Pelodiscus sinensis: one gene and its partner. The protein of the gene in region 2 purifies or fractionates together with the protein of the main gene of each other region. This does not show direct contact. Links are inferred from orthologs where the notes say so. Each region holds a gene or a part of one and is shown on either strand. Other genes may lie near its edges.

The links. Proteins that work in one complex are often made in the same cells at the same time.
Region 1: the proteins of EXOSC9 (region 2) and DIS3L purify together in Homo sapiens (affinity purification with mass spectrometry; 3 studies listed by BioGRID and IntAct, with this or other methods). This does not show direct contact. The link is inferred for Pelodiscus sinensis from reciprocal best matches to the Homo sapiens genes EXOSC9 and DIS3L.

Annotation. Positions count from the first base shown.
Region 1 is NC_134724.1:4,766,531-4,773,630, forward strand, and holds the start of DIS3L (DIS3-like exonuclease 1), read right to left. Parts: upstream 3,009-7,100; 5' UTR 2,969-3,008; coding exon 2,839-2,968; intron 1-2,838. UniProt on the Homo sapiens protein: Catalytic component of the RNA exosome complex which has 3'->5' exoribonuclease activity and participates in a multitude of cellular RNA processing and degradation events.
Region 2 is NC_134715.1:37,047,267-37,054,750, reverse strand, and holds the start of EXOSC9 (exosome complex component RRP45), read right to left. Parts: upstream 3,015-7,484; 5' UTR 2,921-3,014; coding exon 2,855-2,920; intron 2,713-2,854; coding exon 2,618-2,712; intron 1,801-2,617; coding exon 1,681-1,800; intron 1,556-1,680; coding exon 1,453-1,555; intron 467-1,452; coding exon 329-466; intron 1-328. UniProt on the Homo sapiens protein: Non-catalytic component of the RNA exosome complex which has 3'->5' exoribonuclease activity and participates in a multitude of cellular RNA processing and degradation events.

The DNA.
Region 1 (7,100 bases), on a different chromosome or scaffold from region 2:
GCTCTGGGATAAGCCCTCTTGCGCAAGTATTCTTGTGCAAGAGGGCCAGTGTAGACAGGCAAGTTAATTTCTTGCGCAAGAAAGCCCGATGGCTGAAATGGCCATCGGAGCTTTCTTGCACAAGAGAGCGTCTACACTGGCACGGATGCTTTTGCGCAAAAGATGTCTTGCGCAAATACTTTTAACGGAAAAACTTTTCCGTTAAAAGTATTTGCACGAAATCATGCCAGTCTAGACGCAGCCCTCTTGTCTAACATCCTAGACAACAACAGGCTGCACTAACAGTTGAGCCACAATCACACATGCCTTCGCAACCCTCTTCCCCAAAAATAAATCAGAAAGTTTTTGTTCTAAATAATAGTTAAAAATTTAAACTAAAAATTTAAAAGTTTTTTTATTAAGGATGAGCAGCTGAACTAAGAGTTAATACATTTGAAATTGACTTGAAATTGATCTCTGCTATGTTGATTATCTAATATACTATGTACATGTATCAGAAAAGTCCATTGTACTTATAACAACCAAAACACTCAAAAAGGCTACCTCAGAATAACCTATTATGTACAACATGGTAGTGCACTACACAAAACATCATCAAATCCAGCAATCACAGAAACTGGCAGTCTTCCAATGTCTAAGACCAGCAAATACAATATGGATAATTAAATTTAATTACCTAAAAAGTTACTGATGGCACAAAATGGCAAGAATCATAGGGGTAGCTGTGTTACTCTACATCTGCAAAATGAATGAGGAGTCTCTTTATGGTGCTACCAGATCCCTTGTTGTTTTTATAAAAAGGCAGAAGTTTCAGTGTAAATTTTTTAGCCATGTTGAATATTTTAATATACATCAATATCATTTAATTCCAATTAGAAAAGAAAATTGAGTTTAAAAATGTCCTTAAAATGGGGGCAAAGACATAAGAATCTCAGGCCCAGGGGCTGGATGTGGCCCCTGGCTCGCCTGGATCCAGACCGCGAGGCTCAGGGCCCTCCCCCAGCACTGGGGAGCACACACCAGTGCTTCAGCCTCCCCACTACCCTGTTGTGGGGCTGCAGAACACAAAATCTACTAGGCTGGGCCCCTCTAGGCTATGGTGTGGGAAAGGAAAGTGGAGAGTATCTTTCTCCTTCTCGGTCAAGGGCCATGTCAGAGAGGGATTTTGCTTCTCACTTGTGTGTAGCCCCTGACTGATTTTTCTGTGGGTCCATGGCCCATAACCCAAAAAAGGCTCCCACCCCTGCTATAGCCCATAGCTACTGCACTGTTATAGGTAGTCCTATAGCTAGCCTTCCCCTTTCAATTCCCTTCTGTTCTTCTTCAGAATTGCATCTTCATTTACTTGTGCAGGTTTCTATTCTGCAAGGACATTTCGTTGTGCTACTGGCTGGTTTGGTACTCCCCCTCTTCTCTATTACTGAATCTGTTTTGTTCTGTAGGGTCTGCTTCCTCTGGAAATGATCTAGTTAACTTACAAGTGACAAAGCCTGTCAAGGCTGTTAGCAGAAGATTGAACCTGTGAACCATCTAAGTGGATGCATCCTGTAGGCCTTCCAAATGGTAAGGAAACCCGTATAACAGGCATTTGCCAACCCCAGTATATACCGTCAGTTTCTGAATTTACAGTCTCAGAGGGCTGTACCCACAAAAGATTGTGATACCATCTACATGTTTTGTTAGTCTTTAAAGTGCTGTTAGACTATTTGTTGTTTTTGTGAGTCTCTCCATATTTGTGTTATTCTCTAAGGCTACGTCTAGACTGGCATGATTTTCCGCAAATGCTTTTAACGGAAAAGTTTTCTGTTAAAAGCATTTGCGGAAAAGAGCATCTAGATTGGCATGGATGCTTTTCCACAAAAGCACTTTTTGTGGAAAAGCATCCGTGCCAATCCAGAAACGCTTTTCTGCAAAAAAGCCCCGATTGCCATTTTTGCGATTGGGGCTTTTTTGCGCAAAACAATCTGAGCTGTCTACACTGCCCTTTTGCGCAAAAGCTTTTGCGCAAAAGGACTTTTGCCCGAACAGGAGCAGCATAGTATTTCCGCAAGAAGCACTGATTTCTTACACGAGATCGTCAGTGTTCTTGCAGAAATTCAAACGGCCAGTGTAGACAGCTGGCAAGTTTTTCCGCAAAAGCAGTTGCTTTTGCAGAAAAACTTGCTAATCTAGACACAGCCTAAGGGTACGTCTACACTGCAACGCTATTTCTGGACACATCTCATGTCTTCACAGCAAGCCCATTATTACAGGCTCGCTCTCCCGACATCCCTGTAAACCTCCTTCTACAAGGCGTACGGGACGGGTCACCACGGGGCTTTATTTCGGAACTCGGCGCGGCGACGATACAAGACACGCAATGTGCTTCGCTCCCACGGCGCCTCTTATCTCGAGTCACCGGGCAGGGCAGACGCACCCCACAGGGCCTGGCGCTGGGTCATGAATGTGCCCGGGGGGAATCGACAGGACCCGCGTTTAACATTTGCTGGGCGAAATATTCCATGGGGGTGGGCAGAAGAGGACAAAATCCCAGCTCTAAAACTACCCCCCCCCCCCGCTGGTCTTGCTCTAAAACTACCCCCCCCCCCCCCCCGCTGGTCCTGCACTAAAACTGCCCCCCCCCCCGCTGGTCTTGCTCTAAAACTGCCCCCCCCCCCGCTGGTCTTGCTCTAAAACTGCCCCCCCCCGCTGGTCTTGCTCTAAAACTACCCCCCCCCCCCGGTCTTAGGGGCAGCAGTTTCAAGCAGGGGCCCGGCTCCCTGCCCCCTAAGGATCGCCCCGCCCACGCCCCAGCCGCTCCTGCCCCTGGCGCCCCCCGTGCCCCCGCGCCCGGCTCACCGCGGGGGCAGGCGGCCCGGCACAGGGCGCTGCGGCAGGGCACGTCGGGGCGCAGGTAGTGCTCGCGCACCACGCGCACCGAGCGGCCCGCCAGGCCCCGCAGCTGCAGCACCTTCTCCGTGCGCTGCATCGGCCGCGCGCCCGGGCCCGGCGGGAATGGCGGGAGGCGGCGCCAGCGCGCTACGCCGGAAGGGCGGGGCCTGCCTCGGGGGCGGGCGGGAGCGGCGGGGCCGCTGGGGGAGGGGCATGGCGAGGAGGGGGCAGGGATGGAGCTGGGGGGAGGGGAATGGCGAGGAGGGGGTAGGGATGGCGCTGGGGGGAGGGGCATGGCGAGGAGGGGGCAGGGATGGCGCTGGGGGGAGGGGAATGGCGAGGAGGGGGTAGGGATGGCGCTGGGGGGAGGGGAATGGCGAGGAGGGGGTAGGGATGGAGCTGGGGGGAGGGGAATGGCGAGGAGGGGGCAGGGATGGCGCTGGGGGGAGGGGAATGGCGAGGAGGGGGTAGGGATGGCGCTGGGGGGAGGGGAATGGCGAGGAGGGGGTAGGGATGGAGCTGGGGGGAGGGGAATGGCGAGGAGGGGGCAGGGATGGCGCTGGGGGAGGGGAATGGCGAGGAGGGGGCAGGGATGGAGCTGGGGGGAGGGGAATGGCGAGGAGGGGGTACGGATGGAGCTGGGGGGAGGGGAATGGCGAGGAGGGGACAGAGATGGAGCTGGGGGGAGGAGAATGGCGAGGAGGGGACAGAGATGGAGCTGGGGCAGGGGGATGGCGAGGCGGGGGGCAGGATGTGGGAGGGAGAGGGGGTAGCAAGGAGGGGGCCTGGATGGTGCTGAGGGAAGAAGAGGCTGGCTCAGAGGGGGGCAGGGATGGTATGGGGGAAGGGCCAGTGGTGAGGAGAGCAGAGATGGTGCTGGCAGGGGAGGGAGATCCTGGGTTACAGGAGACATCAAGCTTTCAGCCTTTGTCAATAATAGCCAGAAAGTGTCTGATAGTTAAAGGTCAGGGGATCAGGCTTTTTTCCCTCATTCAAAATCAAGCTGGGGTCAGCTGACCTAGAACAGGTAGTCTCTCCAGGAAGGAGCTTTCTACTTCAGTGGACAATGCCCATGTTTAGTGTAAATTCCCATGCATGAAGATTACCGCTGGAGGGATTCACAGGATCCCGATAAGCCCTGAACTCCAATATACACATACGTTTCGCTTAACCTGTGTACCATGCCCATTTTCATGTCAAACATTAGCTTTCCTAACAAATAATTAAATCTGTTGTTATCAGTTTAATACTTGATATGTTCTCTATCTGGGTGCTTAGGATCCCAACAAGGAGCCAGTGTGGACTACATATGGAGTCGGTTGACGCTTTGCTCAGCTGACGTGGCCGCTTGTAGTTTCCGACATCAACAGGTGGTCAAAGGACATTTACATGGAGCACATCACTTGACATTGACAGTACTGAGAGGCATAAGCAGGACCACCGACAAGGGATGCAGTCTAGGAAGTAGCCCAAATTCTTCCATGTCAGGCAGTACCTTCCTACCTGTGGCATAGTCACGGGTGGGCCTGGGTAGGCCTAGTCCACCTGCTTTTAATCCAGGCCCACGCAACCATGCTGGTTGGATGTGGGGGATGACCCTGCTGCACCCAGTGCTCTGACTGGGTAGCCGGGGCTCACCCTGCTGCGCCCAGCATTCCAGAGAGTGGGGCCAAGAGGTGCGGGCTCCCCTTTGACCCACGCTCCAGCCTGGGGAGCAGCCAGGGAGTGGGGCCAGGGCTGTCACCGTTCCATCGGTGCCCTGCCACCCAGCAGTCTAGCTGGGGAGTGGAGCTGGAGCTGACCCCTTGCTGTCAGCGGTCTGGCTAGGGAGCAGGGCTAGAGTGTGGGGGCTTACTGCCTCCATCATTGCCCACCCTCCCAAAGTCAGGGCCCACCCAAGTGGTCCTTTCTGGCTATGCCATTGCTTCCTACAGAGAGCCTACCCCAGATACTGACAGAATGAGAGAGAATCTCCACCCATTAATATATGTGGTTTCCATGGCTAATCCTCTATAAAACTTCCAGTGGATGATATACCCAAATGCTTATTCACTACTACCAGACTCTACTGCTAAACTCCTAAATCTGAGTCAGTGCTAATTGTAGTTTTTTTGCTCTGTTGTTTCTCACTCTCCTTCGTTTGGAGGAAGTTTCCGATGATAACACGATAAAACATGATGTGACCCTCAGAATATAAAACAATAATCAGGTGTGAGAAACTCAGGAAATGAAAGAAAGTAATCATATACTAGGCCTTTAGTCAGACATACTCAAAAACCTAGGAGGAAAATGCATTTATTTCCTGAGTTCTCCAACTAAATCAGGGAACTCAGCTGAAATTCAACCTATGTTCCTGAAAAAGCACCTGAAAATGACCTGTGGTGAGAGGATGCTCCTGTTAAGTTGGAAGAAGCTGAGCCAAACAGACGCCAAGAGAGAACCACTACGTGACCTTTCTCAAATGCCGCTGCCATGGCAAAATATACCATGTTACATAGGTTCTGACTTCTATTCTTGCCGAGGGGGTGCCCGGCCACTGCTCTTCACCAGCTCCCCCCCCCCCATACTCCACCCTTTCCCCCAAGCCCATACACCAGCTCATCTTTCCTCACATCCCCCAAGTACAGCGCGTGCCTCCCTGCTTCTTCATCTCCCTCCTGGAATGTCAGCATCCCGCCAATCAGCTGTTTGTAGCACTCTAGAAGCACTGGGAGGGAGGGAGAGAAGTTGGTTAAGTGTGGGGCTACCAGCGCATGAGTGGCGCAGAGTGCACAGCTTGGTGCCAATGGGTGCTCTGCACCCGCTACTTTTTCCCAGTGGGTGCTCCAGCCCCAGAGCACCCAGGAAGTCAGCTCTAATCCCATGATGAATAGCATCAAAGAGCTTACAAATACCCAGATACGGTAATAAAACATTTGCAGAAAACTTCTGTGGGTAGTTCACAGTCGTGCACGCCAAAAATTCTAACAAAGCAGAGCTGGCTTGCAATCATAGCTTGAGCTCAAACCAAGATTGATTTTAGGTCCATTGTATACCTGACTTGAATATTTTGCACAGCTGTAGAAAGAAGTGTCTTCGGACTTTTTTCTTTTTGAAAAAAAGGGAAATTATTTTGTGATTATGCATTGCTGTGCTTCCCATTTTCTCAGCAGGATGATCTCCCCTCTGCCATGAGCCTGCATCTTAGTTTTCAGGGTGCAGTTTCCGTTTATTGCCACTGGGAGACACCATTTCATTGATTTTGGATGAGAATACCAGTGTGTCCTCTGTTTAAAATTCAGCCTTTCAGGTGTTGTGATCAAAGTGCTGATAGTTGCTTGTAACAACACCAAGCAATTTCTACTCCAAAAGAAACTAACAAACTAGTAACTAAAGGCTGCTTTCTAATACAATAATAACCCCTCATGCTGCTACATGCCTAGATGTTTGTAATTATTGGAAGCATAAAAGCAATGTATTTACTATAATTCCTCATTTTTGGTATATTAATTCCATGATTCCCTCTTCCCTTTCATCTACAGATGAAATTTTGAAGCATGTTCTACATCATTAAATCAAAAAGTTGTACACTCTGTTGTTTCCCGTAATATTATACATCTTTAGCTCATTCCAATGTTTTATTCTTGTATTAACTGATGTATTATGCGTATTAAAAAGTCAAATACTGATTTAAAAAGCAATGGCCATGTTTATTCTGTCATCAAAACTACTAAACTTTAGCTGATATAAAGGTAAGGAGAAGCATCATTCACAGGTGATTTTAGATTGGAGGATATTAGCTGTAGCTTTTCATAAGATCTAATAAAACAAACGTAAACATAGTGGAAATAATTTGGTTATTTTTGGCCCAATTATGTAGCCTTTAATCAGGCAAAACTATCAAGATGTATTTGATCTGAATAGGGGTGTGAGCTTAAAACTTTTACAGTGAAATGATGCTTACATGAGCCTCATACCCTGTAGTAACCCCATTATAGTTGATAAATTTCACAGAATAATAGATGTCAGATGGAAAAGACCTGTTAGGTCACCCAGTGCATCCTCACCAAATTGGGATAGTCCAAGTTTGGAGTCATTTACTGTAGAACTTTTCCCTGTAAGGGATATTTATTTATAAAGTGCAGTAAACAGAAAATAGAACTGCAAGGATGACTTTTTTGCCCTCTCTTTCAAAATCTCAAGCTGAAATTCCTAGGTGAAACTGATGAATTCCTTCTTAGCCTCCTAAA
Region 2 (7,484 bases):
AAAAATTCATCAAAACTTGATTCTTGCTCTTTTTAAAATGTTTTCCAAAATATTACCTATGTAGGTAACTATACTGCATCCACCATAGAGCCAATGGAGCGTTTCCAGTTTGATTGAGAAATACAAAAGAGTGCTATAAAATTGTCTTCCTTATTTAATGTTTAAATAGTTACGATCTCTCAAACTGAAAACCAAGAACTGTTTTAAGTAGCTCTTCCCCTAAGATTTAATTTGTCTTTATTGACAAAGATCCATTTTATATACAGAAGCTATCATGAATGATGTTTTAACTTCAACAATACCACTGCTTTCCTTTTATCCTACTCACCAACGTTACTTCCTCTCCTTGCACAGATACATCTGGTCTACGGAAGTGACATAAAGCCACTATTGCTGCTATACTTGCAGCATCAATAATGTTTCCATCGTGATTCAACAAATGCAGGTCCACACGAATTTGCCACACCTAAATTATAAAAAATAGGTGACAATTCATGAAACTGTTGTATGACTGGTAACTTGTATTGATTTTCCAACACCTTTTCAAAATAACTTTTTACTATTCATGTTGAATGGAAGTATAAATTTATTTCTTGATCATCAAAAAATTAGGATAAAACATATCTGAAGAGAAATAGTATCTACTTTCAATACTGATTGCGATAAATTAAAATTGAAATATGATTTCATGCAAGTAATTAGCTTTAGCATGTATATAGTACCTGTTCGAGAAAATAGGTGACCCAGGAGCGGATGGGTTAAAGGGACCTTTGTATTGCTTACGCATGTTTACTTTGGACCCCCAACAAAATTTTCCAAGTGGCAATGATTTGGCACCAGTTACACTCGTTTATCTATTTTGGTATGTTAATTCTCACATTTATTACTACTTTTTATAAACTCTTATTTAGCAAAGTTAACTTCCATACAATGAATATTAATAAGCAGGTGATGAATACAATTATGCCAACCTCTGTTTGTTGTTTACTGGTTTTTAATTAAATTAGCATTACATACTGTCTTAATTAGCAGCTTACAGGGAGGGGGGAAGTGCTCTGACCCTTCAAGTATTTTTACAGAGCAAGTGTAAAGACAAAACAAAGAAAACGGTATTCAGTGCAACTATCTCCCTAGGCTTCAAGGACAAAAGGGAAAAAAATATACACAAAAAGCCAAAATGCTTGCTCTGGCTAGAACCCCTATCACTATTGTATCTACCCCCCCACACCCCGATCCCTATTCATTTTTACATATCCCAACAGTCCCACTGACTTTTAATCTACTATGTACAATCTTTAAAGTTAGACACATATCTATGTTTGCACAGCTGAAACCATAGTCTTTTAAAATAAAATCAGAATTTTTGGTCCTCAAAGACAGATTGACCGCTACATGCAATATATTAGTCCTCTAGTATTAAAGATCTTTTGATTTTATTAGTGTTTTTCACACCTTTACACCAGCAACAACACAGAGAGATTCAGTGTCTATACATTTTGAGTTTCTGAGGCATCTTTCTAATAGTCGATTCAGTTTCACCAAAAGCTCAGATTGCCTAGAAAAACAAACAAGAGATTGGTTACATATCAGTTGTGAGTTATAATAATCCTGATAAATATGACACTGAATAGCTTTCCTTATGCCATCCTTGTCTGTTGTCACTATGGAAAGGGCACATACCTGCCAGGCTCAAAAGATGGTGAAGCCATTGGAGAGAGCTCAAGATTGAAGAAAAGTATACCCTCTGTAGCTCGATTTAGCTTTGGAGAAACAAGTTCACATGAAACTTGTCCAAGGACTCTGCAAAAGAACCCCGCCCCCCACACAAACCCTTTAGTATAGATAACAAAATACTTTAGTATAGATAACAAAAATAATATTTAATTAAATTTAATATTGAAACAACTTGCACCTGAATTTTACTGCATGGCTCCAATTTATTACTGCTTATGTAAGCCTTGGCCATACAGCTAAAATGCTAGTCACTAATAGGGAACAAGCAAGAGCTAGATGTGAAGAGCACACACTGGACACTCAAATTCCTCGGCTTTATTATCAATTCTACTGCTGTGTGAGTGCCAACAATTTACTTGTGTCCAGTGTAAGCTGTGTGCTTGTGTGGCTTGCTCAGGAGAGATTTAAAGGCCTTCTGGCTGATTGGAAGAATGCCTACAACTAGTTTTTTCCTCCTACCGGTGGTGCTCATTCAAACATGCCTCAGTGTGCATAACATAATTTATTCCACACATGGATGGGAAAAGATTAAGGGAAACATCGCTTATGATTACTTCAGCTCCTCCAGTCTATACCATAGAGCTACCACCTACTTCGCACAGGTGCTGCAAATTTGCTTAATTCGAGATGTCGGGCCGGAGGGATTAATGAGTTGCCACTAGCCAAGGTCAGGTCTACATGCACGTGACTGGCTCATCTGCCGCTTCCGACGCGGTAGCTTCGGACACCTCCAGGGAGACCGATCTCAATTTGTTCTCCTCTCTCCCCCCCTCCCCCCATTCATCGCTGTCGCCTCCCCCAGGCTGTGGCGGCCCCGCACCGCGTGCGCGAGCGTCATGGGAGCCCTGCGCCGGGCGCACGGGGCGGGGTTTCCCCGCGGTACCTGGTCCTGCCCAGCTCCACGACACAGCAGCCGTAGTCGGCGCCGAAGGAGACGCGCACGTTCCTGTAGTCGTAGCTCTGCCGCCCGTCCAAGCGCTGCGGAGCCGAGAGCAGAGTCACCAGCTGCGCGGGGCGGGCGCAGCATCGGGCCCCGAGCGCCCATGGGAGGGAAGGGGAGGGGGGGGCTTGGCCGGTGGCGGCGCCGCCGCCGAGTGGGGGGGGGATTTCTCTCTCGTACCTTCCTCTCCTCGATGGCGCGCAGCAGGAAGCGCCGCTCGCAGTTGGACAGCGGCGTCTCCTTCATGCTGGCGAGGCTTGGCGGTCTCCGGGCCCGCTTCTCCGCGCGCGCGCCTCCCGCACGTCATCAAGAGGCGACGGGACAGGCGGACAGCCGTGCGCAGGCGCGGAAAGGAGGGGGCGAGGCACGGCATTAGGAGAGCGTCACCGCTCCTTTCGCTAGCCGTGGTGACGTCGCCGCCGCCCGGGCGCGTCTGGGGCCACAGCGCCGGTATTCTACGTCAGCAGCCGCAGGCTGAGTCTCCACAGCCTGCAGAGCTGGGGGGAGGGGTGTCTGTGACGTGGGACGCGCGGACAAATGTGTCCGGCCCAGCCAGGTGCGCCCGCGAACATTCCACCTTCACCCCGCCGGCCGGTCTCGCAACACGCTGCCCCGTTGTGTAGGCAGGGGGGGTGCTGCCTAGCAGCATCGCCGCTGCTTCCTGCACAGTGGCAGGCTCGGGGTAGCTGTGCAATCTGTACCTAAACAATACTCACTGTCAGAATATGGTCTGAAGAAGCGGGTCTGCCCCACGACGCTCATCCCCTAATAAACTGCTTTGTTAGTCTTTGAAGTGTTAGGACATGGCTGCTTTTTTGTTTTTTTGAAAAAGGGTAAAACAAGGAATAGCCCTGTCGCACCTTAGAGATTAACCAAAAATAGAGATCCTATCATGAGCTTTCCTAGACATAACCCACTTCTTCAGATGCCATCTGAAGAAGTAGGTTGTGCCCATGAAAACTCATATCATCCACATTTTTTTGTTTTGTTTTGGTTAGTCTCTAAGGTGTTGCAGGAGCATTTGTTGTTATTTAAGTTTTTTATTTTATTTTGGGGGAGGTTAGATAGTTGAGGTAAATTGGAGCTAAGTAACAAGATAGAACATTGGGTGTGTCAACACAGCAAAGTTATTTCGGAAGAATGGCTGTTATTCAGAAATAACTGAGTAGCTAAGCAGCAATTCTATTATTTCGAAATGATTTTGAAATAATGGACAGCTTAATTCAACTTCTGTAAACCTCATTCTAAGAAGAATAACGCCTATTCCGAAATAGCTGTTTTGAAATAAGGCATGTGTAGACATTCCACTTGTGCTATTTCGAAATAGCCCCTCGCTAGGGCCATTCTTAATTATTCTTCCTGAGGCTCTAAATTGAGATAACACATCTACATTAGGGAAGCCTGCCTTGGACTAATTTTGAGACTTCCCTGTAGTGTTGGTGTGCTATTTTGAAATAAGCTATTTCAGAATAACTACAGGCAGTCCCCGGGTTACGTACAAGATAGGGACTGTAGGTTTGTTCTTAAGTTGAATCTGTATGTAAGTCGGAACTGGCATCCAGATTCAGCCGCTGCTGAAACTGACCAGCGGCTGACTACAGGAAGCCCGAGGCAGAGTTGCTCTGCCCCGGGCTTCCTGGAATCGGCCGCTGATCAGTTTCAACAGGCTTAATCTGGACGCCAGTTCTTACATACAGATTCAACTTAAGAACCCCAGGCGTCCCCAAGTCAGCTGCTGCTGAAACTGATCAGCGGCTGATTCCAGGAAGCCGGGGCAGAGCAACTCTGCCTCGGGCTTCCTGTAGTCAGCGCTGGTCAGTTTCAGCAGCAGCTGACTTGGGGACGCCTGGGGCAGAGCAGCTTGGGTGCTGCCGGGTTGCTCCAGTAGCGCCGCTCTTCGGCGCTACTGGACCAACCCACCAGCACCCAAGCTGCTCTGCCCCTGGCGTCCTGATTCAGCCGCTGCTGAAACTGACCAGCAGTGGCTGAATCAGGACGCCTGGGGCAGAGCAGCTGGGGTGCTGCCGGGTTGGTCCAGTAGCGCCCAGAGCGGCGCTACGGGACCAACCGGCAGCGCCCCGGCTGCTATACCACAGGCATCCAGAGCAAAGCCGCGGAGCACGGGGGCAGCGGGACAGCCGCGGCGCGTCTGGGCTGTCCGCTGCCCGCGTGCTCCGCGGCTTTGCTCCGCTTTGCTCCCCGTCTCCCTGGTCTGTGCGTCTGGGCTGTCCGCTGCCCGCGTGCTCTGCTGTTTTGCTCCCCATTTCCCTGGTCTGCTGGAGACCAGCAGACCAGGGAGACGGGGAGCAAAGCCTCTGAGGACGCCGGCAGCGGGACAGCCATGGCGCGTCTGGGCTGTCCGCTGCCCGCGTGCTCCCCGGCTTTGCTCCCCTTCTCCCTGGTCTGGGGAGACGTGGAGCAAAGCCGCGGAGCACGCGGGCAGCGGACAGCCCAGACGCGTCACGGCTGTCCCGCTGCCGGCGTCCTCAAAGGCTTTGCTTCCCGTCTCCCTGGTCTGCTGGTCTCCAGCAGACCAGGGAGATGGGCAGCAAACCCCGTTCGTAAGTGCAGATCCGACATAAGTCGGATCTGCGTAACTCGGGGACTGCCTGTATTCCAGAATGGCTTATTCTGAAATAACTGTGCAGTGTAGACATAGCCACTGAGAGTCAGGACTGTTGGCTGTAAACACAATTTACGGGACCATGGGAAATTTGGCCACACCCAGCATAAGTGAACATCTGGCTAACTAAAATCATGCCATGGTTGATGTTGGACCAGAGCGTGCTGGAGTAGAAATGTTCAACCCATACCTGGTAGAGATTTGGTTAAAAAGGCTAAACCACCACAAGAAGAATGTATCCAATATGTAGAAGTAGCGAAGACTTAGAGCTTTAGCCGTACCACATTAACAGTTACATCTTTGAGGATAGTTTTGGCTACGTCTGAAGTAACCATGAATAAAATAGCTATCATAAGACAGGCCACTGGTCATTTTCTACCTTATATTCATAATCTTGTAGTACAGTCCAATAATATATTAACTAACCAAAAACTAAAAATACTATACAGTTCCAAACTAGTGTGAAGCAGGGAAAGAAAAATCATTTTGCTGTGTTAAAAATGGTGCAAAATAATACCCACTGTCTACACAGCAAACATGCAATATTAAATAGATTGTAATTTGAGCCTCATTACTTGTCTAGCTTTTGTCCTCAATCCTGCAATTTGACTCATCACAGGTGCAGACATATGGGGAGCCAATTGCATTACTGCAGCCTTATTTGCTAATTGCAAAAGCTTTGGGTTTCAAAAGAAGCAGCTTTGATTTTTTTTTCTTATGAGTTAGATTTTAGTTCTAATTTGAAAGTACTATTAGTAATTTCTGTTATTGCTCTCGTTTGTCTATACTTTGCACAAAATATGTTAGGTTAAACACTACTGATCAAGCTAAACACTACAGTGAAGATTAACTTCAGTGCTTTATTCTCTTTCTCTGTTCAGAGCTCCAAGGTGTTTTTACAAACTCCAATTTAGTCCTGACCTTCTTTTAACTTGAGTATTTGTGCGTCTAAACTTTTTCTAACTTTCTTTGCTATTATATGCTGAACTGTTTCTAGATTTAGTTTATAAATTATAAATACAGGAGCTAGTGGAATTAATGCTTTCACAAACTCTGTGTTTTTATAATTTAACAACAGTATATGATGCATTTTATAGATTTGGCCTTTAGTAATAATCCTAGCCCCATCTCAATCTGCAAAAGACCCTACTGTTCCATTGTGAAAAGTGTAGAGGTTGGGATAAGATTATAGGATTGCCATATGTTTGGAATTGGTTTTTAAATCACTTTAGCTTCAACAGAAAAATGAGAAGCTGCTTTGGTTTTTTCCTTGTAATATTTTTTTAAACAGAGGTCTTTATTTAGATTATTTTGGTCTTTATTCGTTTTATTTTTTTAAATTAAGATTCTATATGTATTTTTGCTGATACAACTTGGGTCAGTGACAACGTACTCCTTTCGAAGAGTGACTGAGGGCCAGACACTCTGCCATTCCCTCCTGGATCCAGAGACGTGAGGTGAGTATGTGTGGTCCATAGTGATTTTGGCACTTACTGTGTCACCTACCTTGTTCTGCTTTCTGACTGGTGATGGCACTGGGCAAACCCCATCTCCTTCCTCTACTTCTGCAGGGAGCAGGAAATCCAGCCAGGGTCTGGCCAGACAATAGTGGCTCACTGACCCAATGCTCTCCTCTCAGACCTTTGTCTATAAGCCAGTAAGACAAGAAGCGGAGAGACTCCCACAGCCATCTTCCTACATTAACTCCCCCACTCGTGGCTTCTCCTTATGCCACATAGCAGTGGGTCTTGGTCAGATGCACAAATCATGGCAAATAGTGAGGTTTTAATGCGGGACTCTTAGTATCAGCCTCTTCCACTGGTTGCTGGATTGGAAACACTGAACGGGGAATAGGAATGGGCTCTTGTCCTGTCCCCTGGAATCCAGCCAACCCCACTCACTGAGCCATGTCATACACTACCAAACGGTCCTTTCCTTCCCCACCCTGTGTTCCTGTGTCCCAGGAGCCTGCTGTCCTGGTGTCAGTGCCCAGCACCACAGATCTTCTGCTTCATGGATGGTCAGGCCTTGGAGAGACACACAGGTCTCATTCTGCTTGTAATGTCTGAGTCCCTCCAATCTTATTGGTGGCTGTGCAGTGGGCAGAGTCCTCCCTGCATCCTTGGCCCAATAGAATTGCAGGATGTGGAGTAGACTGGAGACAGAGATACTCATCCCCCACCTGGG